Linked DNA regions of Oryzias latipes. The protein of the gene in region 5 interacts with the protein of the main gene of each other region in a biochemical or structural test. Links are inferred from orthologs where the notes say so. Each region holds a gene or a part of one and is shown on either strand. Other genes may lie near its edges. The genes, in order: receptor tyrosine-protein kinase erbB-2, hsf1, bag1, josd2, stub1, lrrk2 and ataxin-3.

Region 1 (3,944 bases), about 1.5 Mb from region 5:
TCACAATATTGAATACTAATATTGCAAGTTTTCCTCATATCATGCAGACCTACAGTCAATGTAGTTTACCAACATTGAGCTAAAACAATTTGACAGATTTCTGAGTACTGTGTATCATAGAAATTCAGTTCCAGGTCAAAAGAACAAATAAATTCCTACAGACCGACAATATTTTGGGAAACTGAAGGCATAAAAATGTGCATCAAAGTCATATAAATATGATATTTTTTAACCTTTGGATCTATATGAAGACAACAAGGAGAGACCCAAGAGCTTCAAGCCTTCAAGATATTTATGAAGCATCCACACCACTGACTATTATTAGTGAACGCATCACAGTCCTCTTTTTAAATTTAGCTGCTCCAATGCCGGGTCTGAACATGAGAGTTGAGCTTATGGGAAACCATTCATGCACAAAATCTTTAAAAAAAAAACACACACACGCACATTTTGCATACATGCAATAAAATAACACTGACATGCAAACATTTTATGTAGGGTAAGGGCAATTTGAGCATTTTATACAAATAATGACAACATATAATATAGACAAATCTCCCTCCAAGTAAAAAAGCATTTTAGATATAACCTGAGCTGAAGTGAGAACTTTAGTGTGATTATTGGTAAAGTCTTTGATAAGAAATTCTAAATTTTGATAGGATTCATTACAATTGATTAAATGTCATTTTACTGGTCAAATTTTTGTTTTAAAATAAGTTGTTTAGTGATGAAGTGACCAAAAGTAAAACCTTTGATCATAATATTGTGAAATCTCACAATAGAAACGAATAAATTTGATACATTTTTCCAGATAATTTGTGATACATTCTTATAAAAAGAATTAAATCGAGGAATTTCATATTTTTGAATTGTCTTTTTAATTGAAACAAATTGATCTTCAAACACAGCCTTTAAAAGGTTTACATGAAAAAAATGATAGTGTCTTAGTGTTAAATGCCCAGGTTAAGATGCAAAATAATATTAAAACAATAAGATGCTTGATTGGTTGAATTAAAAGTTTTTTATTGCCAAAAAACGGACGTTCCTCTGAAAAACATGAGGGTGAGCGGAGCCTTTTTAGAGAACGACCATCCTGATCTCAGTCAGAGTGGGTCAGGTCACTAACAGTCTAGACGGGCAGAGTTAACCTGCAACTAGCGTCAATTCAAATAGACTTTGCCTTGAGGTGCGCTAAAATATGACAAGGGCGTGAACTGTGCGTCCACTGAGGCAATCGCCTCACACCAAGGATCCTGCATAGAGGGGCTGTGCACACGTGTGAGTGACATAACAAATGAAAGTAAGAAGGCTGGAAGTCAACACTTGGGCATAACATGTTGCTTAACTCTGGGAACCAGTCAGAGCACTCCGGCACAGGTCCGATGCTTCAGAGATCAACACTGCAGACTAAAGTGCACCAACCTGTTCCCCCCAACAATGCTGTCGCGTTCAGAAATGACTTCACCTGTGACTACTGGCTTTGTTCCTGCGTGTGTCCGATTAGTGGTAGTGCTTCGGGGGCAGCTAATAAAACAGGAGTATTGTTTGTGCTCTAAGGATTTCGTCTTTCAACTTAATTGAGCTGGAAATTGGTAATCAAAGTCCAAAAAAAAAAATTCATGGCTCTTTTTGTTGTTTTTAACCCCAAAAACTGGCAATTTAATAAAGTCTGCACATAGTCTCAGTCTGTGCAAAGGTTTTACATGTTTATTGATATTGCTAAATCCTCCTAGAACAGATATTAAACTAGTTCATAATAATAATCATGAAAACTGTGGTTTTCTTGCAGAAATAAAAAATGATATTGGAGTTTTTCAAATCTGACTCCTTTTCTTCGACTTTATATAATTGGTATATGAAATGTGAAAAACAATGAAACAAATAGTTTAGAGCGGTGCTACTTTCTGCAACATGAAGAAATCCAAAAACTCCTCAGGTTTGGCTTTAAACAAAAGAAATCTTGATTTGCATTTTGCAAATTTGCTCTTATTTGCACTTTCAGTTAGTTAGCTCTTACTTTACTGGCATGCACTCCAAGCTCCAAGTGTGATAAGTGGCCCTCTATCAGACAATGTCCCCTTAGGAGCCAGAAGTGAATAATTGACATAGTCATGATGATCTTCTGCACACAGAGCTTTTGTTTGTTTGTTTGTTTGTTGTTTACCAACACTGCTCTGCTGCATCTCAACACCAGTTCTCGAGTTTATTGCCCAACTATGTGGCTTTAACTCTCTTTATTCAATTTAGTGTAAGTTTGTAATTGAAATTCAAACTGAAAGCTTTTAGCGAAGCTACTTTTTGACAGGTGGGAATTTTGTCCTTATCTGCGCTCCATAACTCCCATGAATCTCCGCAGGGAGGACGAAATCACGTACGAGGAATGCAGGAACCCGCGTCGACTTCACACTTCACGTCCACACGAACACAACTCGAACGGGGTCTAGTATGTCCGCGTTCCCAAACCGTGAGAGCGCAAAAGACGACAAAAGTCACCCACCTTCTCCGCCCAAAACGCCCGGCACTCCGAGCAGAACGGCTCCGATAAACACCAAACTTCTCGCGGCTTCCATCTGCTCGCACCCGGCGCGTTTAGTCCATATTCCAGAGTTAGGTCTGTCTAATATTCGTTGTAGCCGACAAAAAAAACACAATAGGTCTTTTCCTTCTTAAAATATTAGACCTTAAAATAATAGCAGCTTTAATCTCGACTCCCTTAGTGAAATTGCTGCCCTTCTTCCTATCCACGGAGACTTCCGAACTCGGACTGTTGGTAGTAACAGTGTGACAAGCGCGCTCCCGTGAAGGCCTGCGCGAGGAGTGGCACTCTGACTCCGCCCACAATCACAGATTTCTGTCTGCAGACCTCAAACTCACTACACGCTTATCAATGTGACATTAAAGACTGTAATGCATGGATTCCTTCTGTCATACAAATATATATATGTTTATTTATTTATTGGTCAAATTTATGTATCCTACTCAAACATGTTTTTTTTCCAACTGAAATGTATCTGAAAAGTGTTCTAAACGCTCATCTTTATGAGGCTGTAGCTTTGAGCATCATGTTAGAACACTGCCAAAAGAACTTAAAGTTCTCTAAAATAAAAATGTGCTGAAGTGTTTAAAAATCATTTTTGTTGGAACAACAAAATAAAATAAAAACTTCCACACCATAATACTACTACCTTCACCAACTTGGCACCTTGCATTTTCAATGGTAGATCTTCCTGGCACCCCAGAATCCCAGAAGGTATCAAATGCAGATTTTTAAATTTATTTGAATTTAAATCATAACATATGGGAAATAGTCAATATTTCAGGACTTTTTTTTCTCCAAATTTTCCATGATACAAGAAATACCAAAAAATTAGATCAGACTGTCTTTGTCAACAAACTTCAAGATGTTGGATTATGTTGTAATTATTGTTGTTTATGGAGGATTTAGCAGTAGCATCTCAAGGAGATGCTTGATCCTGTGAGATGTTCTCAGGCTTGTTATCCTTTTTGTTTTCAGTCTATTGGGGGCTAACATTTCTTGTGCTTTGTCCAAAAAACCCCCCCACATATATGTATTTACACACAGACACGCACACAATACAATTTTCCTGCTCTATTTCCAAACTTTCCCCAAGTGCATAGACTCATACATCTCTGTATCTCACCATTTACTGATTCACTAGAGTGGCTAAACTTTCATAATGACTTCTGGAACAAATTTAAAGAAATCTTCAGTGGGCAAGCAATGGAAGAAAAAAATGTATCTCTAAACAAGTTGAAAATACAGAAAAGTAGAAGTTCTTTTCTTGTTATAAGGGAAAACAAATTTGACATTGGAACTAGAAGAACTTGTTTTGGTAAAATTTCTTAAAATAAATTGTGATGTAATAACCTTTTAAGACAAATTGTTTATGTATATTTCACTGGTAATAGGAAATATTGCATTT
Region 2 (3,500 bases), on a different chromosome or scaffold from region 5:
ATGATATGTTCACGATTTATTGTGCAGTTTAAAGAAGAAGAAGAGAAGAAAAAGAAAACAAAGAGAATAATCATATTAGCATGAACAAAAGTATATGGGATGGCCATACTGACCTCCATGAGTGGAGAGGTGTCGAAGGTGAAGGTCTGAGCGTTTAAAATGGTCTGAAGGTTGTCCAAAGTGTTGTCAATATTGTCGACGTGATCAGAAAGTTCAGATCTGAGAGACAGACAGGAGGGGGATCAGCGTTAGCTTTCAGAGTCGGTCTGGTGTTATTCTACATTTTTCTTTTCGTCAACATTGATTCAAACCAGCAATGTGTCTCCTAAAGCTGCCCAAATTCGCGTTTGTCTCTTAATTTTTTTACCTCTCCTGGTCAAACAAAGAAAAAGCTAAATTACAAGCATCACAATAACACAAAAAAACAAAAAAGAACAGCAGACACTCGAACATCAGTCCTCAACGTGGGATTTTTCTTTATCATCTTTAAAACATTCTGGCATTGGATGGTCTACCTAAAAGCACAAAGTCTGGTCTGATCTCTCACATGATGATAAAAAGAAAAAAGTAAATTCCACCAGTCATATTAACAGAACCCCATTCTAGTTGACTTTAATCATCAGAGACTGTATCCAAAAGAAAACGTGCAGCTGCTGCGACCCGATTCAGCGTCAAATTACGACTTACTGTAGTTTGGAAATTATCGGTTACTTGGAGCAGCAAGAAATGAATCCTTGTGAGAATATGTGAAAAGTCTGTGCATAGGTGATGGAATAGTTAAGTTGATCACAAGGCAGCCCTTACCCAGAATTCAACACCCGACAGACTCCAAACCACACCCACACCACTGACTCAGTTTCTCAGCTTCCTTCTGGACGACCTTGTTCCCCGTGTGAAAACAGCAATATCCTGGTTTCAGGAGCAAATCTGTCCGTGTTCCCAACAAAGTTTAACCTGACTGACCTCCTGAGTTCTCCAATGATTTTAGCCTCCATTCTAAGAAATACTGATATCACAAGAAAGTTCAACTCTATGCAGATGACACCCAACCCTTTTCTGTAACCGCACAACTTTTAAAGATCCACTCTGATCATCTTTTGATCTATTTTCAAAGGGTTTCCTGTAGTCTTTCAATCTTCATTTTGTAGATTTTACCCCAAAATTTAAAAATAATAAATAAATCTGTTCCTAGGTCATAATTTCTGCTAAGAGGCAATAATTCATTAGATAAAAAAGATATTTTACAACCTGCATTTTTTCATCTGCTTCTGATTCACAACAATTCGACAATAGAAATACTCAGAAATTCAGTTTTAACCTCAATTTGCTTAATATCTGTCCTCCATCATTGGAAAAAATTCCACAAGAATATGTTAAAAACACCAAAAACACTATGTTCACTGGGTCTTTAATTTTTTTTAATGGATTTACAGAAATTAAGCGATTATTTCTCACTGAGGAATTGTCTTTGACAAAACTAAACCAGTTTTTTTCTTTTAGGTTTAGAGCCTGAAGGGTTTGATGAACAACCTGCTTTCCGACTGCTAAATAAAACAACATAGTTTGTTCCATTCATTTTCATTAATACACAACCAATCATCTTCATCTACTCCTCTTTTCTCCTTGTGTTTAATAGCTTTGGTTTATAGTTCCATCTGTTTTAGAAGCCTTGAATTATTTATTTTCCCGATCTTTAAATCCTGCCCTAAAAACCATTTTTTACAAGCAATTGTATCAGCTTTGATCTCTAAAAAGGTGTCCAACTTTAGTGACAATTGACTATAATTTAGTTTGTGGCTCTGCTATTTATTTTACGATCTTTTTAAAAGGTACCTAAAGTATGAATTGCTGCTAATATTCTTCACAATAACAGGCACCAACGACTAAAAACCCAAACTGCGTTTTGCAGTCCCAGGTGCCACTCTCCTCCTTTAAACACAGTCTGTGATATTCCTTTAAAGATTCACTTGTCAGGTTGTGTCGGTACGATGCGCCAAAGCTCAGGTGGGAGTCCACCTGCAGGGGGAGGGAGGAATCTGAGGGAAGCACAAACATTTTTTTATTACACCGACAAGCTTCAAAGGGACATTTATGTGATGTGACAAAATGTAATCCTAACAACGATTACCTCACACAGCAATTTGTAAATACCGTATTTTCACGACCATAGGGCGCACCAGATGGTAGGTCGCAGTCTCAGTCACGGGGGATTTTTCCGTCTTTGACACATACAAAAGGCGTGTTAAGGCCCGGGCACGTTAACGCCCCGTTCAGACCCTCAGCGCTTCTAGAGTGGGTTCATAAAACATCCAGTCTCTGTTCTTTAGAGGAAACCTTTTTTTTTGTTACTGTTCTCCCTAACTGAATAACACAAACTGAATGGTCACTCACTTGCGCGCTCTTGTCCCCCTTCCTCCTTATCCTACACAAGCGCTAAAGACACACAGCGCACACACATACCCACACACACACACACGCTCCGCCAGTCTCCATTTCTCCTCCTATGCGCTGGCGAAAACAGCAGCTTTAAGCCACACACACACACACACACACACACACTTAATGTGTGTTTACAAAAAAAACAGTGGGAGCAAATCTGAGTTAGTTTTTTTTTCCTCTGCGTAGCTGATAGCTGCAGTTCAAACAGGTGCTCAGCCATCTTGTTAACAAGTGGGGGGACCCGGGCCTTAGCCCCGCCCATGGCCACTAAGACTCATGGGAAGTGTTTATTCCCACACCTTGAGTTAGGTGGCTGTGAAGAGAAGTGACCATCATGTTGTTATGCTGAAAATTTGTCAACTTCTTTGAGCAACCTGCTTCACTTCATGCCCCTCCCTTACTGGATAGATTGAAGGTTATCATGTAGAAGAAGCAGGTACAGTCTTAAATTGCAAATAGTAATACTGCAGTTATGTTCCACTTGGCCTTTACATCTCTCTCCCTTCCTCACTCCATCTTCTTCTACGACCCACAACTACACATCAGGCGCGATGCCTCATAGGGCGCCCCCTGCTGGCGGAAGAAAATGTATGACTTTTAAGTGCGCCTTGTAGTCGTGAAAATACGGTAATACAGAATTTGCAGACTAAAAATGTGGGATTTTGTAATGCCGGAAAAAACACTGAAGTCACTGGGGCAAGAAGCAGTTTTTTTTGGAAGTTAGGAAACATCTACCAGAAATATTGATTCTAAGGGAACTGTCAGAGCTGCTGCTGCTGTGAGGTTACTGTCCAAGAATCACCCAAAGATCAGCTGTAGACGCGTGAAGCCACAGGCTCACTTTGAGCCTGATGTGACACTTACCTGTTGATGCAGGCGATTGTCTGACACTTCTGCTGAGGCGTGGCCGGGCCGGAACCGGCGCTGTGGGGTGTAACGGGGGCAGACGGCTGGCTGGCTGGGGAGGGCTGGACAGGGTCGGCGGAGGCGGGGCTTGTTACAACAACTGAAGCGGCTACGACAAACAAAGTCTTAGGTCAGTCCGAGGGAACATATGTAGG
Region 3 (4,058 bases), on a different chromosome or scaffold from region 5:
ATAATAAATATTTACTATTTTTACAAAGAGTAAGTAGTAATTTCCTGCAGTAGATCTCCATCCACTATAGTAAACAGTGAGTTACTATTTGCAAATAGAGTTAAAAACTGAGCGCACGCCGTTTCTTTAAACCAAAAGAACATGGACTGGACATTGTTTCCCACAATGCATTTCATTTTTGTAGTTAAATTGGACGTGTAAGGGCATATACATATATAGAAAACAAAATACCTTGTCTCTAGAGTCTAGAGGGACTCGAACTTACAATCTTTGAATCTCTTGTCAACGATTTATTTAGACATCCACTCTGCAAAAGCTGCTTGTTGATAGAGTTCAAGCTCGCTAATTCTTGGAATTGATTTCCAATCAAATCACACATTTTTGCTGATGGGGTTACCTGTTGCAGGTGCTAAAGGTATTTTTCATTTGGTGGTTTATACTAGATGTCCTCCGTTGTAGGTAAACCAGCTGTGTTTTTCCGCTAATGGAAACGTGTAGTAAAATAACAAGTAAATCCCCTTTAATCTAACAATTAAAAAGTTATTTATGTGTGTTCATCTTTTAAATCAACAGTCAGATTTTTTAATATTGTCAATACATCTGTATTTTTCACATAAATAATTTATTTTATGTTATTCTGCTGTAGTACATTAAATAGACCATTATGATGTTTTAATGTGCAAAATCTCCAAAGTTTAATTTAGTGTATATTTCCGTTAGTAACAAATGTCATATACTATTAGGCATGCATATTTCACACATGGCAGAAGAGATCATGAAAGCCACGAGGCCGACATAAAACCTCCAAAATCGCACACGTTCCAAGCGGGGCTCGAACTTGCAACTTCAGGGTGTGTGTTATGAAAGTTGGAAACTTTATATCGACTTACGGGCGCTGTCCTTTTCCCACAATGCATCACGTGTTTGTAGTTAACGCAGTATTTGAGGCGCATAAACTGTAAAAGTAAAAAAGTGCGACTCTGGTGGGACTCGAACCCACAACCTTTGAATCTCTTTTGATCGATTTAGCTAGAAGTCCAATGCGCTATCCATTGCGCCACAGAGCCGGTTGGTCGAGTCAAGGTCTGCATAGAAAGCAAAATTTTCAACATTCGTGACTGACTGTCGGCGTTGGAAAGTTTAAGGATCAAACATTCAAACAGAAAAACACGCTTCGACATTATTTTTTAAATCTGTCTCTATATATTTATACGTATGTATATGGATAAAAAGGACCTTTTGAAATGCAGCGGAAAATCAGTCCGTCATTTCCGGTGCTGACCGGAAGTAGTTAGCTGTTAGCGGAGATAGCCGGGTGACTTGTGTTGAGGTTGAAGAACAAACACAAAGACATGTCTGATCAAACGATAAACCTGATAGTCAACTACGGTAAGAAAACGTTTTGAATTTTAAACAAACGGAGACTGAAGCGGCTCCGAGTCTTAGATGTGACTGTAGCTCAGAAATCCTTTGCTTGTTGTTGTGTAGCCCAAACGCAAAAACCGGTTCTAGGAAAAACTTCTGCTGATCATGATGTGAAATGAACTATTTACTGTTAGGCATTGAATGTCTCAGCAAACTGCTTTACCTGTCTGCTCAAAATTCGAATTATGTTCATTTTTAATTGTGGATTCATAACAAATATAACGTGTCATCAAATGCTAAAAATAGCAGAAAAAAGGTTCAAATCAAAAGACTAATGAGGATCAGACTCTACAAATGGGTTTGATTATAATAAACTTTCAAGAAGTCTCACTTCATTACAGATTTTAAATGAAATAAATTGTAATTGATTAATTTTTGTTGGCTTCACAACTGAGGTTTGGCGATATGAATTCACACAAACCTGTTTTATTTATGTTCACAACGTTATGACAACTGCATGAATGTCTGTTGATCAGGTTCAGTAAAACACAACATCAAACTAACGAGTCCAGATGACGGCAACGGGCCGGCAGTGAAGGATTTATCAGAAGCTGTCTGTCAGGCCACCGGCGTTCCCCCCGCCTCTCAAAAACTCATCTTCAAAGGTTTGGGTTTGACCTACATTCTTTTTTTTTTTTTTTTTTGAATGCATCCCATAATTAGGCCTTGACTCCATGTCGCGGCATTGTGATAGTTTCTGAAAACGAAGATCTAAAGTGATCAACCAGCTGAGCGTTGTTGCAGTGTCGTGGTGATGCAGACAAAAACGGTTGTCGTGGTTACCAGTTTCTTTAATTTGCTAAAAACTATACATAAGGAAGACCAAATCTTTATTTCTGTATTTTCTTTGACTTGGTGCGTCTGCAATTTTTTGCTAACATATTCTTCTTTCTTCAGGGAAGTCTCTGAAAGAGATGGACGAGAGGCTTTCCACCTACGGGATCAAAGACGGCTGCAAACTCATGATGATCGGGAAACGGGTAAGACGCTCGGGCGCCGCCCCTGATTGAGTTGGCGTGCGCACATCCCACTGACAACGCTGTACAAACAGAACAGTCCGGAGGAAGAAGCTGAGCTGAAGAAGCTGAAAGACATTGAGAAGTCGGTGGAAGTGACCGCCAAGAAGCTGGAGAAGGTGGACGGGGAGTTGACGGGACTGAAGAACGTGAGCCACAGATCCTGGAGGGAGAAAAGCATCGTCAGATGGGTCGTTTCTTTGAGGTTTCACCTCTTTTCTTTGCTCTGCAGGGCTTCTTGGCCAAAGACCTCCAAGCTGAGGCTTTGAGCAAACTTGACCAGAGAGTTAAAGTTGCTGCTGAGCAGTTCATGAAGATTCTGGAGCAGATAGACGCCATAGTAATCTCTTTTTGGATTGAGCTTTTTATCCCTCGAGTGTTGGTCATTTCTAACACACTCCTCTCTCTCTCTCTCTTTCCTCTAAAGTCTGTCCCGGAGAATTTTAACGACTTCAGAGTGAAGAAAAGGGGCCTCATAAAAACCGTGCAGGTTAGCCAGTAGGTTTCTTTTTTTCTGCTTTTACTGACGACGCTAAAAAAAATTGACTCCTATTTTTCTGTTTTTCGTGGCCTCAGGACTTCCTGGCCCAGTGCGACAGGCTGGAGGCGGGTATATCAGACCACCTATCAAAGACCCAGTCCAAGAACTTGGCTCTGGCAGACTGAAGCTGCTTCCCTTACTGTGTGCTATCTGTTGCTCTGTGAGCAAAGTGTACCAACGGCTTCAGATGTGGAGCAGATTTTATTTATTTCTCGGTGTGATGTGCTTCATAACGAAAGGAGACTTTGCTGAGATCATGAGGGTCAGCCGTAGGTGAAGATGCGTCTCAGACTCAGACATGGACTGGAGCGTCGGTGGTGCTTTGATGTTTACCGTAGATCAAATCCTCCGTCTGTCCTGTGGCGTTTTCCTCCCATCGGCCTTCAGCTGTTCCTCTCGGTCGCCGCCAGCCTGATCCACAGAAGTAAGTGAACCCTCTTTAGATGTTTCCACCACGTCAACTTGAAGAGGTTTGTGAATTTACAGAGTTGTATTTTTGTTATAAAAAAAGGAGAAAGTCAAATTAGGCAAATCACATCATCATCAACTGACTTCTACTGTACATGTTCATCAAAATCACGACGACTGCAGAAAAATGAATAAATTTTAAGCCAAAAAGACAGATCTCCAATGTTTGGACGTTTATTTCTGAAGTCCCGCTCCCATCATCTTCTGATCGATTTTCCCAGCATTCCTTAATGATGATGCCATTTTTAGCCAAAATCAGAGTAAGCCAGCCCCCACTTCCCATCGCCCATCCTTTTATACAGTGAGCTTAATGGAAAGACCCACTCTGGGGAAACTGGTGTGTTTCTTTAACCTCTTCTTGGGGCATTTTTCTGATGATGGAGGACAAATATTTAAAAGAAATTCAGCTTAAATTGCAAATCTGAGGATTTCTTTATTCAACTTGTTGTGAATCAGGAGCAGGCGAAAAAAAATGACGCTTGAAATCAACCCAAGAGACCCTGTGATCGCAAGGTCATCCGCTCTGGAACACGGCGCCAAGTCATCCACCGTTCGCTCCAGGAGTTCCATCCTTAGATCTTTTTGATCGATGATGGCCTTTGGCTCCT
Region 4 (4,184 bases), on a different chromosome or scaffold from region 5:
TTATCCATTTAAATTCAGATGGAAGTTTTTGCAGAAAAAAAAAAAAAGATATGTACGCTCACTGGGCACTTTGTTAGGTACACCCATCCAACTGCCCGGTAACAAATTTGCACTGAGCCAATCACATGGCAGAAAGTCAATGCGTTTAGGCATTCATGGTCAACACAATCTGCTGCAGTTCAAGCCGAGGATCAGAATGTGGAAGAAAGGTGATTGTAGTGACTTTCAAAGTGACCTGCTAGGATTTTTACCTACAGTGATGAAAGTCAGGCAAGGAAAAAATCCCTGAACTTTTCTTTGAGCGATATGGCGGGCACAGAGCGAAATTTTGGAAAAATACGTGGTCTTAGATGCATTCTGGCAACTAGTTATTCACTTCTTTATCAAGAAACTAAGACTAATTGGAGCATCATGATTTGTCATTCAAACCCCTAGTTTGACTCTCCATTAAGGACTTGCTGGTCCTAAAAAAGAATTTGGAAAATTGCTCAAAGTAACACAATCCTACAATCTACGCTTTTCCTTAAAGCTGCAAAACATACAATTGCTAAAATATAGTAACATCAAAGCCCCAAATGGCAAAAAGAACACCAGTAACTATGATATTCTATGAAAATACCTCAGTTATTTATACATTATTTCTGCTTTAGAAATGACTGATGTACAACATCCACTTGCACTGTTTTCTCAAACTATAATTACATCAAAATATGGGATCTGCTTTAAACTATAATTCTATAACATAATACATCAATTCTTTAACACCAATACTAAGTAATCTGGGAAATATCAAAACAAACATACAAACTAAACTAAACATTGTAAACATTATTTTTTAAGGGAGTGCGGGTCCAAACCATCAAATACTTATAATTAATGTCAACTATACTGAACTAAATCATGGTAATTAGGAAATACAAATAAATTAGATAGAGAAATGTATTCAAAATAAAAACTGAAACTCAAAACTAAAATTGAAATTATTTCAAAATGTGGTTTTGAGATTATTTTACACAAAAAAGTATTTGACCTACACTACCTTAAAAATCTTTTTTTTCCAGCCAAGACCACTTCAATTTGTTTTTTATCGTCTTCTCACAACTGAGGTCGTGACCACGCTCAATAATGACGATGCCTGCCATTATTTTAACACAAATTTGATCGCAAACTCTTCAGATGTGTTTGTGAAAATTTAGCGTGGGTCCGCCAGTTTTGGTCTCTAGGGAAGCGAGTCACGCTGACCACGTGGTGCAGACAGAGCCAATCGGACCCGTCGACGCATCCGAAAGCAACTAAAACGTCCCGTCATTGGTCAATTAGGCCGGGAAGACGAGAGATGGCCACGACCATAGAGGAAGCGATCTGCTGAGAAATATAGAAAATAAAGCTAAAATTAGCTGATTTCAGACCATTTTTTAATCCGGAAAGCGATTTGTCCGTAGAGATCAGGTCTTTATTTCCCGGAAAGTACGTTCGGTTTGCTCAAAAACCCGGATTTCCGGGAATTCCCGGAAGACTTTCATCACTGTACCTACAACCATCTCTAGGGTTTGTAGGGAAAATATCCAGTGAGCAGCAGTTTTGTGGGTGGAAATGCCTTGTTGATGTCAGAAGAGAATGGCCAGACTGGTTCCAGCTGATAGGAAAGTAACAGTAACTCAAATAACCACTGGTTACCAAGTTCTGCAGAAGAGCATCTCTGAACGCACAACACGTCCAATCATGAGGCAGATGGGGTACAGCAGCAGAAGACCTCAACGGGTACCACTCCTGTCAGCTAAGAACAGGAAACTGATTCTAAAATCGTGCACCTTGCCTGGTATGATTAGTCTCCATTTCTGCAGCAACATTCAGATTGTAGTGTCAGAATTTGCCGTCAACAACACGAAAGCGTGGATCCATTCTGCCTTGTATCAACAGTTCAGGCTGGTGGTGGAGGTGTAATGGTGTGGGGGATCTTTTCTTTGCACACCTTGGAACCCTTAGTACCAGCTGAGCATGGTTCCAACACCACAGTCTTGTTGAATCTAAGCCACAAAGGTTTCAGGCAGTTGTGAAGGCAAAAGGGGGTCCAACACGGGACTAGCAAGTTGTACCACATAAAATTGGCCAGTAAGTGTAAATATTCAACTATGATGACCTGGGGAAATCGAGACTGTTTTTGTTTGTTTTGTTTTGTTTTAAGCCTTAAACACGAACATAAACAAGGAAACTACAAGTACCACACATTACAATACATCCAATGTGTTTCAATATATGCTTTTTTTTAAATTGAGAGAATGGGTACAAGATCATGTCAGCACGTTGTTACCGTTTACAGATGTCGTCAGCCGTCTCCTTGGTAAACACTCGCTCCTGAAGCACGTTGTTGAGCGCGTGAATGGCGCACAGCTCCAACCGTTGCTTCTCATGAAACACCTCGGCTTCGCTCATTCTATCGCTTTCCGTTTCAAACACAAAAACGTGGACGTCAACAAAACCAGAATACACACGTCACTCATGCTAGCTAGCATCAGATATAATATGAGAGGTTAGCACCAGCTAGTACAGTAGTTCTTATCTTCTTACCTGAAAAGAAGCTAACTATGACACCCTGGTGGAAGTTCACCAGCTGGCCGCTCAAAAAGTGGTTTAGAAAGTAGCAGCAGCGCGAACTATTGTCACGCCATTACAATGAAACGGAGCTCGTTACCTGCTGATAAAGCAAATCCACGTTTTATTGACGCTGGAGTCCGTCAGCTACATCCAGAAACCGGAAGCAGAGTCTTTGTCGTGTTGTTGTTCTACAAAAAACACGCCCCCATGCTTAAAGAGTCCCACAGAGCAACACCGAAACACGAATTTTCTTTTATTTACCAAGTACATATAGCACTAAATAAACGCAAAAAAATATTTCTGGTAGTCCGCGCGATTGTTTTTAATGTTTTTAAGCAGGTCAAAATAGCAATAATGTAAGCTTGCAACGTCATCTAGTGGCAGCTTTATTAATTTCAGTTGTGGCAGAGAGGAGGTGAAGACAGACTTTCAGATATTTTTTCTCTAAAAGAAAAACAATACACATTTATATTAAAAAATAAAACACGAAATATTTCATATGGATTATTGTCTTTCAACTTAAGAATTTTTTTGATGGAGAAATTACTTGTGATGATATTCATGAATGTTGATGATAATGTTACATTTTCCTAGAATGCAACATGTCTACTATATCTGTGATTGACTGGATAACATCATATTCAGTGAAAGCAAAACTGCTCTGAGCAGGAAATACTGTGTTCAATCCAAGAGATACAAGTTGATAGCCATTACAAAGGCAGCAAAATGTAAGATGAAACTCCATTGTTGAACCTTTCTGTTTTGAGTGAACACATTTCAGCCATACAGGACCAATGAAAGGAGAGATATTCATAGAACAATATTTAATAACAAATTAGATAATTTGAAGATGCCATGAGCACTCCATCAGTTATTTTTTAGTCTGATATTGTGTCAGATGTTGCTATTCTGAACCTTTTACAAATCTTTTAATGTATGTTATGTGTTGAATTTAGAACTGAAGTTGTTCTTTGTCAAAATTGTTGAATGTTAGTGTATCATGTTCTGATTTTTTTTAAAGTTATGTCTGTTGTCTCATTTACAGTGATTTCTGTTGAGCTTTGTAGAATGGTAATAAAAAGACCTTCTTATCCTCTCCTACCTTCCTTTTGAGATTAAAAAAAAACCCTGTTTTATCTACATTGTCTCTATCAATGTTGTGTCCAAATTGGTTACCATTCCCAGTTATATGTTTGATTTTTGCACAAGAGGTCCTGAGGACACTATTGGGTTATCTGTTTGTGTGCTATTTTGCATTTGGCGCTGTTTCTTCCTTCATAAATGCACAGGAAACTTTGAGATGTACAAAGACCTGCATAACATTTTTTAAAGATTTCTCACAGAACATAAGCCAGTTTTGAGTACAATGTTTCAAAATCAAATTGTGCAAAAACAAGCATTAGATCACAGCAATGCTAAAATAGCGTTCTATTGTCTGATAGTTGCGGGGTTTGTTTTTATGTTCATAGATATTTAGGACACACCACTAAATTATTGGTATTTGTATGATGGACAGTCATTTAATATTATTATTGGCCTACAATTTTTTTTGTTAGTCCAAAATCCTGCTCCAAAACCAGGAAAGCTGT
Region 5 (4,123 bases):
AATAGGATTCACTTTAGACAGAGATCATCTGCCCATTTTTTAACACTTGACACGGCACAGAGACAAACAAGACCAATGTAAGAATTGTATGTTTGCAGGCGTGTGTAACAGCGTAGTGAGACAATAAACATGTAATTCTGCTCTTAATCACTACAAAAGTTATCTGTGCTGAATCCAAACCCAAAACTGCAGCAAGACAAATAAATCACAATATGATCAAAACCCAAGCACGCACGCACACACACACACACACACAAACATACATTTATACACACAAATTAAATGGTAAACGGCATATAATTGATTGAAATATGTCGAGCATTGATTTATTGTAACGTTGAAGATAATTAATCTAAATAATAGAATGTGTCAGAATATTAGCTTTTATCATCAAAATAATAGAAAAAGATGTTTACAACCTAAATGTTCAAATGCCTTCATTTCTATCACTTAGCTTGGTTAGGGCTCCTCTATGTGAATCACTGCATCAATGCACTGAGGATATGAAGCGTGTGGCTCTATGTAGAAGTAATGGAGGTTTCTATGTGCTGCCTTCACATTATCTGCATTATTGAGTCTGGTGTCTCATCTTCCTCCAAACAAGAGACAATAGATTCATAATAGGGTTCAGGTCAGGGGAATGTGCTATCAGCCACAGTAATACTATTAATTGAACCAGCTTTTGGTTCTTTTGGCAGAGTGGGCGGGCCCCATGTCCTGCAGGAAAATTGAATCTGCAGCTCCAATGAGCTCAACACCAAAAGGCAGCATGAAGTGCTACAGAACTTTGTGTAGACTTCAAAAAAACATGGACCTACATCATCCCTGACTGTGGAAGCTTCACAAGACCCTTCAGGCAACATCGGGTCTGTGCGTCTCCAAATGAAATACAACCTTTACTTTTGGACCACTAAGCATCTGTCTGGTTCTTTTCTAATGAGCCCAGGTAAAAAACAAAAAACAAAAAAAAACGTCTAACTCTGATGATGGTGAAATAAATCAGAATTTTGCATGGATTTTCTCTGTTGAAAGTCTTTTTTCTTTCCACTCTATTTTCTGTTAATATGCTTGGACAGATTAACTACCATGATTGCATATGGACTTACATTTGTCTGATACATTTGAAGGTTCAGGAAACCTTTGCAAAAATAATCCGTTACAGTTTTTGATACTTTTTATTTTGTCATTTTCTTCTTAATGTACCTAAAGTTGATGAAATGCTCTGGTTTTAAGGTAAATGCATTGATTTGTAACTGCTGGTGCCTTTAAGAACATGTGCAAGTTTGATTTTCTCATCCCCACAGAAAATTCTTTTTTGTTAGAATCCCACAATAAAAGCACAAGTGAACTGATCCATCTTCAACACCTAAAGGTTGTGATCCTTTGTTCTGGTGTTATGATTAAGAAAACCCGACACGAACGGCTAGGAGAGAAAAATCAAACTAGTTTCTGACCTTTTTGCAAATTGCCGATTGCCTCATCGTAGTTCTCCAGCTCCAGGTGACACTGGCCCAGGAAGAAGTGGGCTTTAACAGACTGACTATCCAGCTCCAGTGCATGCTTACAATCTGTCAGAGCCTTGTCATACTGCTGCAGCTTCACGTGGCAGAGGGCCCTGTTGGTGTAGTATACTGCCACTGATGGATTGCGGTTCTGGAAGACACAATGGGGAAAATAAAGAGTATTTACGCGCAAACTGTTTAGTCTTCGCCATTAGTGTTTGGATGAGAAATCCCAGACGCTTACAATAGCTTTACTATAGCAAGAGGCAGCATCCTGGTACTTGCGGCAGAGGAAAAGCCGGTTCCCCTGCTCCTTGAACTCCTGCGCGGTGGAACTCTTCTCCGGGCTGCCGGCCATCTTCTCCACCGGCTCCGCGGGGCCCGCTTCGCCCTGTTTCCCTATCCTGTTCCCCGTCTCTTCGGCTGGCTAGACAACAGGTTTTCAGAACGTCCCGTCCGGCTTGGATCTCACACACTAAAACACAGGCGCGTGCTGAGTTAGCGATGCACCTGCAATGCGCTGCTTCTTCAACGATCTCTCGGCGCAACGCTGCTGCTTGGTGCCGCTCAGAATGCATTCATTCGGGTTTGCTGACAGTGCACGCCGCTGAAAATCACAGCTAGACTGCCGGCGAATTAACTATTCACATTCGGAAATCGATGGCCATCAGCGAGCACAGCTATTTAAAAAAAATCCAGAACCATTAATTTACACATCCACTCAGGTTTCGAGTAAAAACACCAGATACAAGATAATATATTTAAGTTAACGAAAAATTGTATATTATTGTTACACGACAAGAAACACAAAAATAAGATTGCTAACTTACAAACAAACAGAGGAGGAGAATCGATGCTATGCTAAAATTAGCTAAGCTTTTATCTTGAAATTATTTTGTTTGGGGACATAGTACAGCTTTTGTGTCTCTAATCAATTTTATTGACATTTAATTTAGGGTAGATTCTGGTGAATTGAAGCAGAGGATAGTAAAACCATAACTACTTGTTCAAGGATTTCAATATTTACCACAACGCAGCTCGGTTTCTTCAAAAAACATAAACTAGCTAGTGCTAGCTTAGCCTTTTTGCATTACAGTTGCTTCACGTCCGTTTCAGTTTGTTGGAGGCTTAAATAAAGTTTTACATAGTACCCACCCTTACCTTTAATCAGAAATTTTACATTCAGCTCAAACAGATTTAATTTAGTTTGATATAAAATCGTTACGGATTATTTTTACCACCCGTACGAACTGTCAAGACGGAATGTTGTGGTGCTGACGTCAAACGCTTTACGCTCTAACAACGGAAGCCGAGAGCACACGAATCCTGATGGGAGTTTGCGCAGAGGTTATCTTCAAGTATCATAACAATGTAAAGTTTCTGTGCTCATTTCTGTAAAAGTACTGTGGGAACAAACCCTCATCTGTATTGGGACTGCTCTCATAATTTGGCTTTATAGAATGCCAGCCCTTTATCTTTAATCCTAAATTAATCATAGAGGGTCATTGGAGCTGTGAGAAGAGCATGCAAACAACGTGAAACAGGGGCCTTCTATATGTGAGAAGACCCTGGTATCAGTGCTAGTGGTTAGAACTAACATAGCTGACTACTGATACAAGTAACCACACCTTATCTCTGAGTGATGGTTAGTTGTATAGAAAATAGGTACTGACCTTACATTACGTTAGACAAAATACTATAACAACACCCTATCAAATAAAAGTGTTTGTTTATATCTGATTCGAAATTATTAGTAAAATAATTGATATTAATGGAAATAATTTATTATTATTATTTTGTCTTCCTTAAACTTCTGTTATTGCACTAATCCAAAAGCATTGAAGATGATAAATCTGTTCTATTTGATTTGGTGCTTTTTATGTCTTTACTCATTTTTCACTTTTTATATTAGCTTGATGCCAAATTTTAACATGAGACTTTGCTTATGTTAAGAGAAGCATAAAAATTCATTTTTTTTCTGTATCGCTTTGTCCCTTTCGGGGTCACGGGGCTGCCGGAGCCTATCTCGGCTACTTTGGCGTAGGCAGGGGATGCCCTGGACAGGTCGCCAGTCTGTCCAGGGCAGACTGCGTTTTTTATGCTTTTATGCTGCTGTAAGCATAAAAATGTAATTGAAAAAAAAAAACGTATATATTTTTTAACATTCAGAAAAGTATTTTTTTCTCAAATATGGTTTGAAAATGAAATGAAGCCACACCTAAATATTTCCTGTTATTTTTATGCATCTTTACAATCACTCATTTAAATCTGAATAAGCAAAAATATGAGAGCAAGAAATGGAAAGATGGGTTTACCTGAGGTTGTTTGAGACGTTTATACAAATCTGAAATGTGTAAAGAGGAGTTATTTTAAAAAATATGATCAGAAATATTTGCATTTTTTGCAGTTGAACTACCAATTTTACACACCAAGATACAGAAAAAGACAACTGGGTGGTTTCTCATTGCACTTGTAAAAGATCAGCACAGGAAATCTAGTGTATTGGCCAGAAGATGGCATCATCGGGCTACTCGTTTTTTTAAATGTGAGTCAAATCTTTAATGTAATCTGTTATTAAGTAGTTTAGTACAATATTATGAATTACCATTGCATCACTGTGT
Region 6 (3,500 bases), on a different chromosome or scaffold from region 5:
GGTTAGGGGAAGCAGGGGAAGGGGTTGCTCCACGCTGACGGTCCCTCCCACAACTCAGAGACGAACTTCTAAAGATTTTCATCAGAATGGGTCTGTAAGCTTTAATATACGGGGGCAGAAATAAAACTGAAATTTCATTCTTCTCACTGCTCCTTTCCAGTCATTAAGATGTGAGGACATGTGTTGTATTGAAAATGTTAATGGTACTGTGGTACTCTTAATAAATAGAATAAACAAGCAGAACAAGAGCAAGGTAAAGGAAAAGCTGTTGCACTGTTGAATAGTGAGGGTTTGAAGCATGCTTTCACATTGGAATCAGTCGCTCAAACGTGCGTTTCCGAGCCCCGTGTGATGGTAGTATGAGACACACGTGACGTAATGATGGAAGTGGTTTACACAAGAGGTTAATAATACGAATTTGAGTGTCTCACACCCTTGACCTTTATTTGTATTCGAGTCAATTGCTAACTTCTGGTCGTAAAAGTAGACTTTTGGTAAATGTGCCAAAAGGGTATTTGCAAAGGAAGGGATCATTTCCAGACAAAGCAGGAGCATCTTCGAGGCTCCACTCCTACTGACCGACTTCACTGAGGAAATGAACGGCGTGAGGAAGCTCCGCCTCCTCCAGCTGCAGCTGACACTCCTGGATGAGCTGGAGGAGCTGGTAGCGCCTGAGGACGGGGAACTCTGGCGAGATTCTGGTCCTCTCCAGAAGAACTCTACGCTCCAGCTCCACATAGCTGTCTGGTACCAGCTGGCCCATGACAAGCTGGCCTTGGATCTGTGAAAAAGAGCAGAAAACATTAGCAGGGTTGAGGTAGACGTGATTTGAACTCTTCCATCCTGTGTTTGCGTTGCTCCACCTTAAAGCTGGTGACCTCCCTTGTGATAGCCTTGCGGAGATTGGCAATGGAGTCGGAGTCCTCACAGAAGTAGCCCATGTGATGATCCCTGATTGCTGGAAAGCCCTGGTGGTTCAGCAGCTCTGCCCTGGTTTTCTTCAGACAGTCCTGGAAGTGCAGCTCATCGCTCACGTCTGCATGAGTGCCCACGAGGATGACCGGAGACAGCGGTGCTACCGCCTGAAGTAAACAGACGAGAGCAGCGAGTGTCTGACCTGAAGGAAAACAAGCCAAATTCATGCACCTTGACTTTGTCCGTACCTTAATAGTGAAGAGCCAGGGTTTGAGAGCATCCACCTGACTGGATCCTTTACTGAGGTTGTACACCACCAAGTAGACAGCCCTGGAAGTGAGGAAGTGAAGATGGGAGCCACTGAACTCTTCCCCCCCTGTTAAGGATGGAAAGGGACTCCTGACTGGCCTTCCAAAGCAAAGTTACCCTCAACTTGAGCAGGTTTTCTAACCTGTGAAGTCCCAAACATTCAGCACCATTTTCTTCTTATCCCGGTCCTTGATGGTCCAGTCTAAGACGTTAATGCCTGCAGCATTCTGATTTGAGTTCAACTGGCGCTTCTGCTTCATCAGTTGATGGATCAGCGTGGTCTTCCCGCTGCTGGGATTCCCCACCACTATGAGCTTCATTCTGTGATACGGCACCGCCTTCTTTAGTCGCTGCTGCAGGGACCTGAAAAACAATTCCAGAAACGGGGTGCAAATCTGACTCCACTGCATTCTGTTCAAGATGTCATGAGGCCAAACATCTATCATTAACCAAGACATGATGCACCAGCAGAGAGGACGTTTGGGTTAGAGAGGCACAGCTCAGGTTGTGCAGCACTCAGATGAACCTTTAGCTCAGTGGAGGCGGAGCTTGAGACTGAAGCTACAGTCATATCTCCCACAGCAACGTGCATTCAGGCAACCACTTTAATGAAAAGCTTATGTAAACGTGCATAGAGGCGGTTTCAGGTCTCTGAGTTCAAAACTTGCAAAGGTTTTAAGTCAATTTTCTGGCTCTACATCTGAAACACTGAACGTGCATTGAAAGTTAACAGGCTAAACTTTGACCAATCTTGGATTTGGCAGTGTCGTTTGGATGACATCCCCTTTAATTCACGGAAGTACCAACCATTTCAAAATTGATCATGGAGGAGAAATTAATAATTGTGGTTTGTGTTCGGCTGGAATTCTACGACAGCGAGTCTTTCATTCATCGGAATAGAGCTGTGAAAGAAAAAGCCTGGAGCAAGATTCACCAGATTGGCACTGCTTTGACATTTCACACAAAGCCTCTTCCAACTGTGACTACATGTGCTAGTATCAGATGGCGACATTCCAGTGTGAACGCCATATGCTGAACGTGCGTTTAGTGCGTTCTCACATGCCCGGTGTGAAGTGTGAATGTAGCATTATTTTTAATGCACCTGTCCGGGTGTTGAACTGTAACGGGTTTTTGAAATGTCCAGGTTTGTGGAGGGTCGTAGAGTGGAGCAGCTGCATCGTAAGGGCACTGAAGATGCTCCTGGTATGGGTATGGAGTGTGTTTTGAAAAGTATTTGTAAGAATAATGTAAGTTACACACACTTATGACATGTAGGTGATGCTGTCGTACAGCGTCTCAATGCCACAGTCTAGTCATTGGGGAAGTGCAAGCACTCTCTCCATGCCGACCATAAATCCTGCACAGGTGATACCTACATGCCCATAGCATGTGGGCACACACATTCTTAATGTCCAATTTCCTCTTTTCTAACAGTGAGGCTGCACACAACAAGCACACTTACCTTGTTAACAGCACTAAAGGGCTGCTTGTGCAGGAAAGGTGTTAGAAAAAAATAATTTCTGTGATATATTGCAATAGTTCATTTGGCGACACCTGATGCTATAAGGACGATATTTATTTAATTATTTATGAGCATCCTTCAGCGTCTGACTCTTGTTTTTCACTTAAACCTCTGTCGCTAGTTGGTAGCAGAGCCCACTGAGCCTCTTTGAGCAGCTCTACACCACACAAGACTACACGATCTCAGCGAGGAGCAGCTTGTTTTGTTTTTATGAGACATGCACTACTTAGTTTTTACTTAGAATGGGTACCGAACCGAAACTCTGTGCCATGTTTCTGCCAGTAACATATGAAAACATGGATTGTGGTGCTATGTAGCGGCTCAGATAAGAACGAGTGAAGCTCTGCAGCTGCACAACGGGTTCTAATGCACGGAGCATCGGCCAAAATGCTATCGGCAAAGCGGGCCAAAGTTCTGCAGAACCTCACAGCAATGGATTCTGGTTCAGTGACCTCATGGATCAGAGTGATGTGTGAAAAAAGGACAACATCGTGGCGATGACCATTACTAGTTCACTTCAGCGTGTAAGAACGCGTGGCTGCAGCGGTGCAGAGCAGACTGTGATGTAAACAAAGCCTCTTAGCCACATTAAAGCGTCTCCTTCATCCTGTCATGCTGCCTCATCATCATCACTTCATTGTTTCTGGAAAGAATTAGTGTCCCCCCCCCCCCCCCCTTTATTTTTGAAGTACCATTCAGGCATCATTCAGTTTAGAAATACTGGAGAAGCTACATTAAGCAATATTGAAAATAC
Region 7 (3,990 bases), on a different chromosome or scaffold from region 5:
AACACTTTTTACAAAGACATGTGACCATAAAGTGTGGTAGAATGTTCTAATAATGTTCTGTTTAGATTATTTTGTTGTGGGCTGAACTTTAGGAAACTAAAATGTCAATGGATTTGCCATTAATCCCTGTTCACTTGTTTGCTTGTACACATATTTAATTCACACTTTATTATTTATTTAATTTACACATTCTTGCAGGAGAATCCTTCACCTGCTCTACAGTACCCAGGTATTTATCACCGAGTCACACACTGGTTGATTTTTTGGCTAAAATGTCCTGAATCGATTTTCAGTCTATAAATCGTATCGTTCAAAATGAACCAATATCACCTATGAATCATATCAGCAACTAAAAAATATAATGATATGAATCAAATCATGGTTAAAATTTAACGTTACACCCCTACTTTCTAGTCTTTAGTGCCTTGAACTACAGACAACATATGATCATGTGTATATAGAAAAGCTAGAACATTGTTACTGAATTCTCCAAATCTGCTTTCCTTTTAGGATATAATAAACTTTATAATAAAAGTCCAATGATAAGTTAGTGTGAAGGAAGATTAGCTCAACAAATCGGGATGTAAATAGTTGGCAGGATCATTGTGAAAATTTAAACGATAAAATTATGGTTCGTAATAAATGTTCAGTTTCACATTCATTTTTCGAAAGATACAACTTTTTTTCACTAAATTCTTCAAAAAAACAGGACTGATGCTCAGTGTTTAAAACTCGTAAAACGGGGTTTTGGACAAAACTAAGTACTAAAATATCAGATTGACCTACACATCTGCAAACAGATCGCGTTTCTGACGAAGATTCAAATCGCTGATGCTAAACAATACCGAAAAATAAACCTGTTTTGTAGCATCTCTAAGCTAGTAAAGCGGTTAGCCGTTTCCAGCTTCTGCCTGCTAGCTTTAGGACCGTCACTGCGCGTTGAGCCCGTTTTCTGTGTAGCATTTTATAACCCCACGCGTACGTGTCAAATATCCGAATCTCGGTAATAACTGTCAGTTTTTAATTTGCAACGCCATACCTTACTGAGCTCCAGTCCGTCAAGGTGTTTCTTACTCTCTGCCATATTTCATTTGCCGAAAAAGGAGGGGGGTTTCCTGTGTGACCAATATCCTTTCGGTTGTTGGAACGGAGCGAGGTTGTACTCCAAAATGATCCATAGAGGGCGCTAATAGAGATTGGTTCCCATCTTTACAGGAGTAGGGGTCAAAGTTGAATGTTTGACAGAAATCTAAACATGGATTCCATATTTCATGAAAAAGTAGGTTTAAACAATTTACTTGTGACATTAAACTGAACGCCTTTACTCGTGTGTAGTCGGAGAGAGTAAAGACACTTAGCATTTATTTAGAGTTTGTGTTTAGCCGGTGCTAGCTTCAATCTAATGTTATTTTGGCTTTATTCAGACTGCTAATGCTAACTCACTTGCTAACCAGGTGTTGTTAAGTTTCTTTAAAAGCTAATAGAATGAAGTTAGAAAACGAGTTTGCGGTATTTATTGTACACTTCGACTCCACCAATAATTATTAAAGAAAAAGGATACTAAAGTTGTATGTTGCTCGTTGTTTAGATGTTTGAAACATTATTTATTTTTTATTTATTTTTTTGTAGTTGCTTTAGCTTTTTGTATAATCTATCTCCAAGGTTTTGTAAGTTTTTGCACTCCATTTTGAAAAAGTGGAGACCTTTTTTTTTCTCAATACGTTTACGCAGTTATTCTTTGTTTTCAGCAAGAGGGTTCCTTATGTGCCCAGCACTGCCTCAACAACCTTTTGCAGGGGGAGTATTTTACCCCTGTAGACCTGTCCTCAATTGCTCATCAGCTTGACGAAGAGGAGAGAATGAGAATGGCAGAAGGAGGTATGGGTAGTGAAGAGTACAGGACCTTCTTACAGGTAAGTGGGGACAGGTAACAGATGTTTTCTGCAGTGGTACATGTATTTAAACAACTGTTTTAATAATAACTTTATAGCAGCCATCTGGAAACATGGACGACAGCGGATTCTTTTCAATACAAGTATGTTTATGTGCTTTGTCATATGATCATTAGCAATCAACTTTACAAGATTGTCTTATCACTCCTTATGACTGATTTTTATAGGTAATTAGCAATGCTCTCCGAGTGTGGGGATTGGAGTTAATTCTCTTCAATAGCCGGGAGTACCAGAGCTTGATGATAAATCCAATGTAAAGTTGTATTTTCAAGACTTCCTTGTATAGCAAGTCGATCCCACACCCACATTTAAATCCTGACTTGATGTCTTTGCCTTTAAGAAACGAGAAGGCCTTCATTTGCAATTATAAGGAGCATTGGTTCACCATACGCAAGCTTGGACAACAGGTATGTCGATTTTTATTTTTTTACTTTTCAATACGTGTGTTGATGCTTAATTTACTTATTTAATTATTATTACAGTGGTTTAACTTGAATTCACTCTTGACTGGACCAGAGCTGATATCAGACACATATTTAGCTCTTTTCCTGGCACAGCTACAACAAGAAGGTATTGTAAAGCCGACTTGTTTACACTATTGCACCTTTTGGTACACAAATACAAAAATAATGTATTTCTGCAGGATATTCCATATTTGTGATCCAAGGGAATCTTCCCGAATGTGAAGCAGAGCAGATTCTCGGAATAATGCGGGTTCAACAACAGCAACGGCCCAGGCTAATTGGAGAGGATGAGGCTCAGACAAGTTCAGGGTAGGTTTGTGGAAAATGGTCCTCGCTTGGATTACATTAGGTCTTGTTTGGACATAATACATGTCTGTTTTTAGAAGCAGATCCGTTGCTCGGGGGCAAATGGACGTTGTATCAGATGAGGCTGTGGATGACGATGAAGAACTAAAGAGAGCTCTGGCACTCAGCAGACAGGAAATGGATGTGGAAGATGAAGAAGCTGACCTTCGCAGGGCCATTCAGCTCAGCATGCAAGGTGTGCCATTTCAAAGCTCCAGGCTGATTTGAAAATATTTTATTATATTGGAATTTTTTAACCCTTTTTTTGACGTTTTTCCTTTAACTAGGATCAGGCATGAGTAACAAATCTTCAGAGTCTGATGTGGGAAATGTGAAATCCGAAAAACGGACTGTACAGAGTTCTACATGTGGAGATAAACCAGGCCAGAATGAGACACTTACTGCTGAGGAGCTGAGGAAGAGGAGACAAGCTTATTTTGATCGGTAGGATTTGATCTGTAAAACTTGAATTTAACAAAAAAAAAAACTTTCAGTAATATGTGTACACATGTTCAAAGGTCTTTTTTTAGTGAGCAGAAAGGAGAAATGTGCCTTATGAACCAGACTTTCGTATTATCTTTCAGGCAAGCACAACCAAGCATTCCACGACAGTTAGAAAGTCATGCAACCAGTGACTCTGGTGAGTAAACTCTATTTAAAATTCAAAACACCCTATATGTATAACACCCATTATATACAGTTTTTTGCATATCAGAATGAAAATGTAGATATTATTTTCATGTCAGAACAATAACCCAAGTATCCATTTTTTGCCCCTAACACCAGAAAAATCCAACTCTATGGAGGACCAACAAGAAAAAGACACCAAATAAAGTTGTGAAAGCTTTGCTGCTTTTGTCTACCAACGCTCTGAACTTGAAACCCTGTACAGGGGTTGGCTTCTCTCCATTCTCTAACCTTTTGCAAACGCAAACATACTGCAGCCAGAAGGCCGACACATGGTTTCCTTCGCTGGGTTTGCTGATGGGCAAGGGAAAGGCAGCACTTGGTCAAATCAGACCTCAGTGTGGTACAGAGATGGGGGAAAAGGGTGATCGCTGGACTTAAAAATGACTCATAATGTAGTTATTCCAAGTTTTCAATGGCCTTTTTTTATTTTACCATAGAGCCTTCTATTTCTTTACATTCTGGTTTTTGTTGTCTTAATTTTTTTTGAAAACATAAAGAGAAAATGAATGAAAAATGGGTTAACTTTTATGAAGTTGGAT

Evidence for each region.
Region 1: the proteins of stub1 (region 5) and receptor tyrosine-protein kinase erbB-2 form a complex in vitro, tested with the Homo sapiens proteins (4 studies listed by BioGRID, with this or other methods). The link is inferred for Oryzias latipes from reciprocal best matches to the Homo sapiens genes STUB1 and ERBB2.
Region 2: the proteins of stub1 (region 5) and hsf1 form a complex in vitro, tested with the Homo sapiens proteins (2 studies listed by BioGRID, with this or other methods). The link is inferred for Oryzias latipes from reciprocal best matches to the Homo sapiens genes STUB1 and HSF1.
Region 3: of the proteins of stub1 (region 5) and bag1, one has a biochemical effect on the other in vitro, tested with the Homo sapiens proteins (3 studies listed by BioGRID, with this or other methods). The link is inferred for Oryzias latipes from reciprocal best matches to the Homo sapiens genes STUB1 and BAG1.
Region 4: the proteins of stub1 (region 5) and josd2 form a complex in vitro, tested with the Homo sapiens proteins (2 studies listed by BioGRID, with this or other methods). The link is inferred for Oryzias latipes from reciprocal best matches to the Homo sapiens genes STUB1 and JOSD2.
Region 6: the proteins of stub1 (region 5) and lrrk2 form a complex in vitro, tested with the Homo sapiens proteins (3 studies listed by BioGRID and IntAct, with this or other methods). The link is inferred for Oryzias latipes from reciprocal best matches to the Homo sapiens genes STUB1 and LRRK2.
Region 7: of the proteins of stub1 (region 5) and ataxin-3, one has a biochemical effect on the other in vitro, tested with the Homo sapiens proteins (6 studies listed by BioGRID, with this or other methods). The link is inferred for Oryzias latipes from reciprocal best matches to the Homo sapiens genes STUB1 and ATXN3.

The regions. Positions count from the first base shown.
Region 1 is NC_019877.2:7,422,762-7,426,705, forward strand, and holds the start of receptor tyrosine-protein kinase erbB-2, read right to left. Parts: upstream 2,801-3,944; 5' UTR 2,571-2,800; coding exon 2,498-2,570; intron 1-2,497. UniProt on the Homo sapiens protein: Protein tyrosine kinase that is part of several cell surface receptor complexes, but that apparently needs a coreceptor for ligand binding. Essential component of a neuregulin-receptor complex, although neuregulins do not interact with it alone.
Region 2 is NC_019869.2:4,836,101-4,839,600, reverse strand, and holds part of hsf1 (heat shock factor protein 1), read right to left. Parts: intron 3,455-3,500; coding exon 3,304-3,454; intron 2,037-3,303; coding exon 1,968-2,036; intron 220-1,967; coding exon 114-219; intron 1-113. UniProt on the Homo sapiens protein: Functions as a stress-inducible and DNA-binding transcription factor that plays a central role in the transcriptional activation of the heat shock response (HSR), leading to the expression of a large class of molecular chaperones, heat shock proteins (HSPs), that protect cells from cellular insult damage.
Region 3 is NC_019875.2:29,408,253-29,412,310, forward strand, and holds bag1 (BAG family molecular chaperone regulator 1), read left to right. Parts: upstream 1-1,258; 5' UTR 1,259-1,352; coding exon 1,353-1,389; intron 1,390-1,901; coding exon 1,902-2,030; intron 2,031-2,322; coding exon 2,323-2,405; intron 2,406-2,476; coding exon 2,477-2,590; intron 2,591-2,673; coding exon 2,674-2,781; intron 2,782-2,868; coding exon 2,869-2,931; intron 2,932-3,017; coding exon 3,018-3,107; 3' UTR 3,108-3,606; downstream 3,607-4,058. UniProt on the Homo sapiens protein: Co-chaperone for HSP70 and HSC70 chaperone proteins. Acts as a nucleotide-exchange factor (NEF) promoting the release of ADP from the HSP70 and HSC70 proteins thereby triggering client/substrate protein release.
Region 4 is NC_019874.2:19,500,230-19,504,413, forward strand, and holds the start of josd2 (josephin-2), read right to left. Parts: upstream 2,801-4,184; 5' UTR 2,693-2,800; exon of another isoform or gene 2,569-2,692; intron 2,441-2,568; 5' UTR 2,434-2,440; coding exon 2,312-2,433; intron 1-2,311. UniProt on the Homo sapiens protein: Cleaves 'Lys-63'-linked poly-ubiquitin chains, and with lesser efficiency 'Lys-48'-linked poly-ubiquitin chains (in vitro). May act as a deubiquitinating enzyme.
Region 5 is NC_019877.2:8,954,562-8,958,684, forward strand, and holds the start of stub1 (E3 ubiquitin-protein ligase CHIP), read right to left. Parts: upstream 2,801-4,123; 5' UTR 2,530-2,800; intron 1,978-2,529; 5' UTR 1,861-1,977; coding exon 1,747-1,860; intron 1,654-1,746; coding exon 1,455-1,653; intron 1-1,454. UniProt on the Homo sapiens protein: E3 ubiquitin-protein ligase which targets misfolded chaperone substrates towards proteasomal degradation.
Region 6 is NC_019864.2:2,156,222-2,159,721, forward strand, and holds part of lrrk2 (leucine-rich repeat serine/threonine-protein kinase 2), read right to left. Parts: intron 1,588-3,500; coding exon 1,367-1,587; intron 1,292-1,366; coding exon 1,164-1,291; intron 1,083-1,163; coding exon 864-1,082; intron 782-863; coding exon 580-781; intron 1-579. UniProt on the Homo sapiens protein: Serine/threonine-protein kinase which phosphorylates a broad range of proteins involved in multiple processes such as neuronal plasticity, innate immunity, autophagy, and vesicle trafficking.
Region 7 is NC_019880.2:12,489,184-12,493,173, reverse strand, and holds the start of ataxin-3, read left to right. Parts: upstream 1-1,190; 5' UTR 1,191-1,234; coding exon 1,235-1,279; intron 1,280-1,748; coding exon 1,749-1,913; intron 1,914-1,990; coding exon 1,991-2,035; intron 2,036-2,119; coding exon 2,120-2,205; intron 2,206-2,292; coding exon 2,293-2,359; intron 2,360-2,434; coding exon 2,435-2,522; intron 2,523-2,595; coding exon 2,596-2,725; intron 2,726-2,799; coding exon 2,800-2,957; intron 2,958-3,048; coding exon 3,049-3,205; intron 3,206-3,345; coding exon 3,346-3,401; intron 3,402-3,547; coding exon 3,548-3,594; 3' UTR 3,595-3,990. Other genes in the region: E3 ubiquitin-protein ligase UBR1, read right to left, coding at 1,040-1,084. UniProt on the Homo sapiens protein: Deubiquitinating enzyme involved in protein homeostasis maintenance, transcription, cytoskeleton regulation, myogenesis and degradation of misfolded chaperone substrates.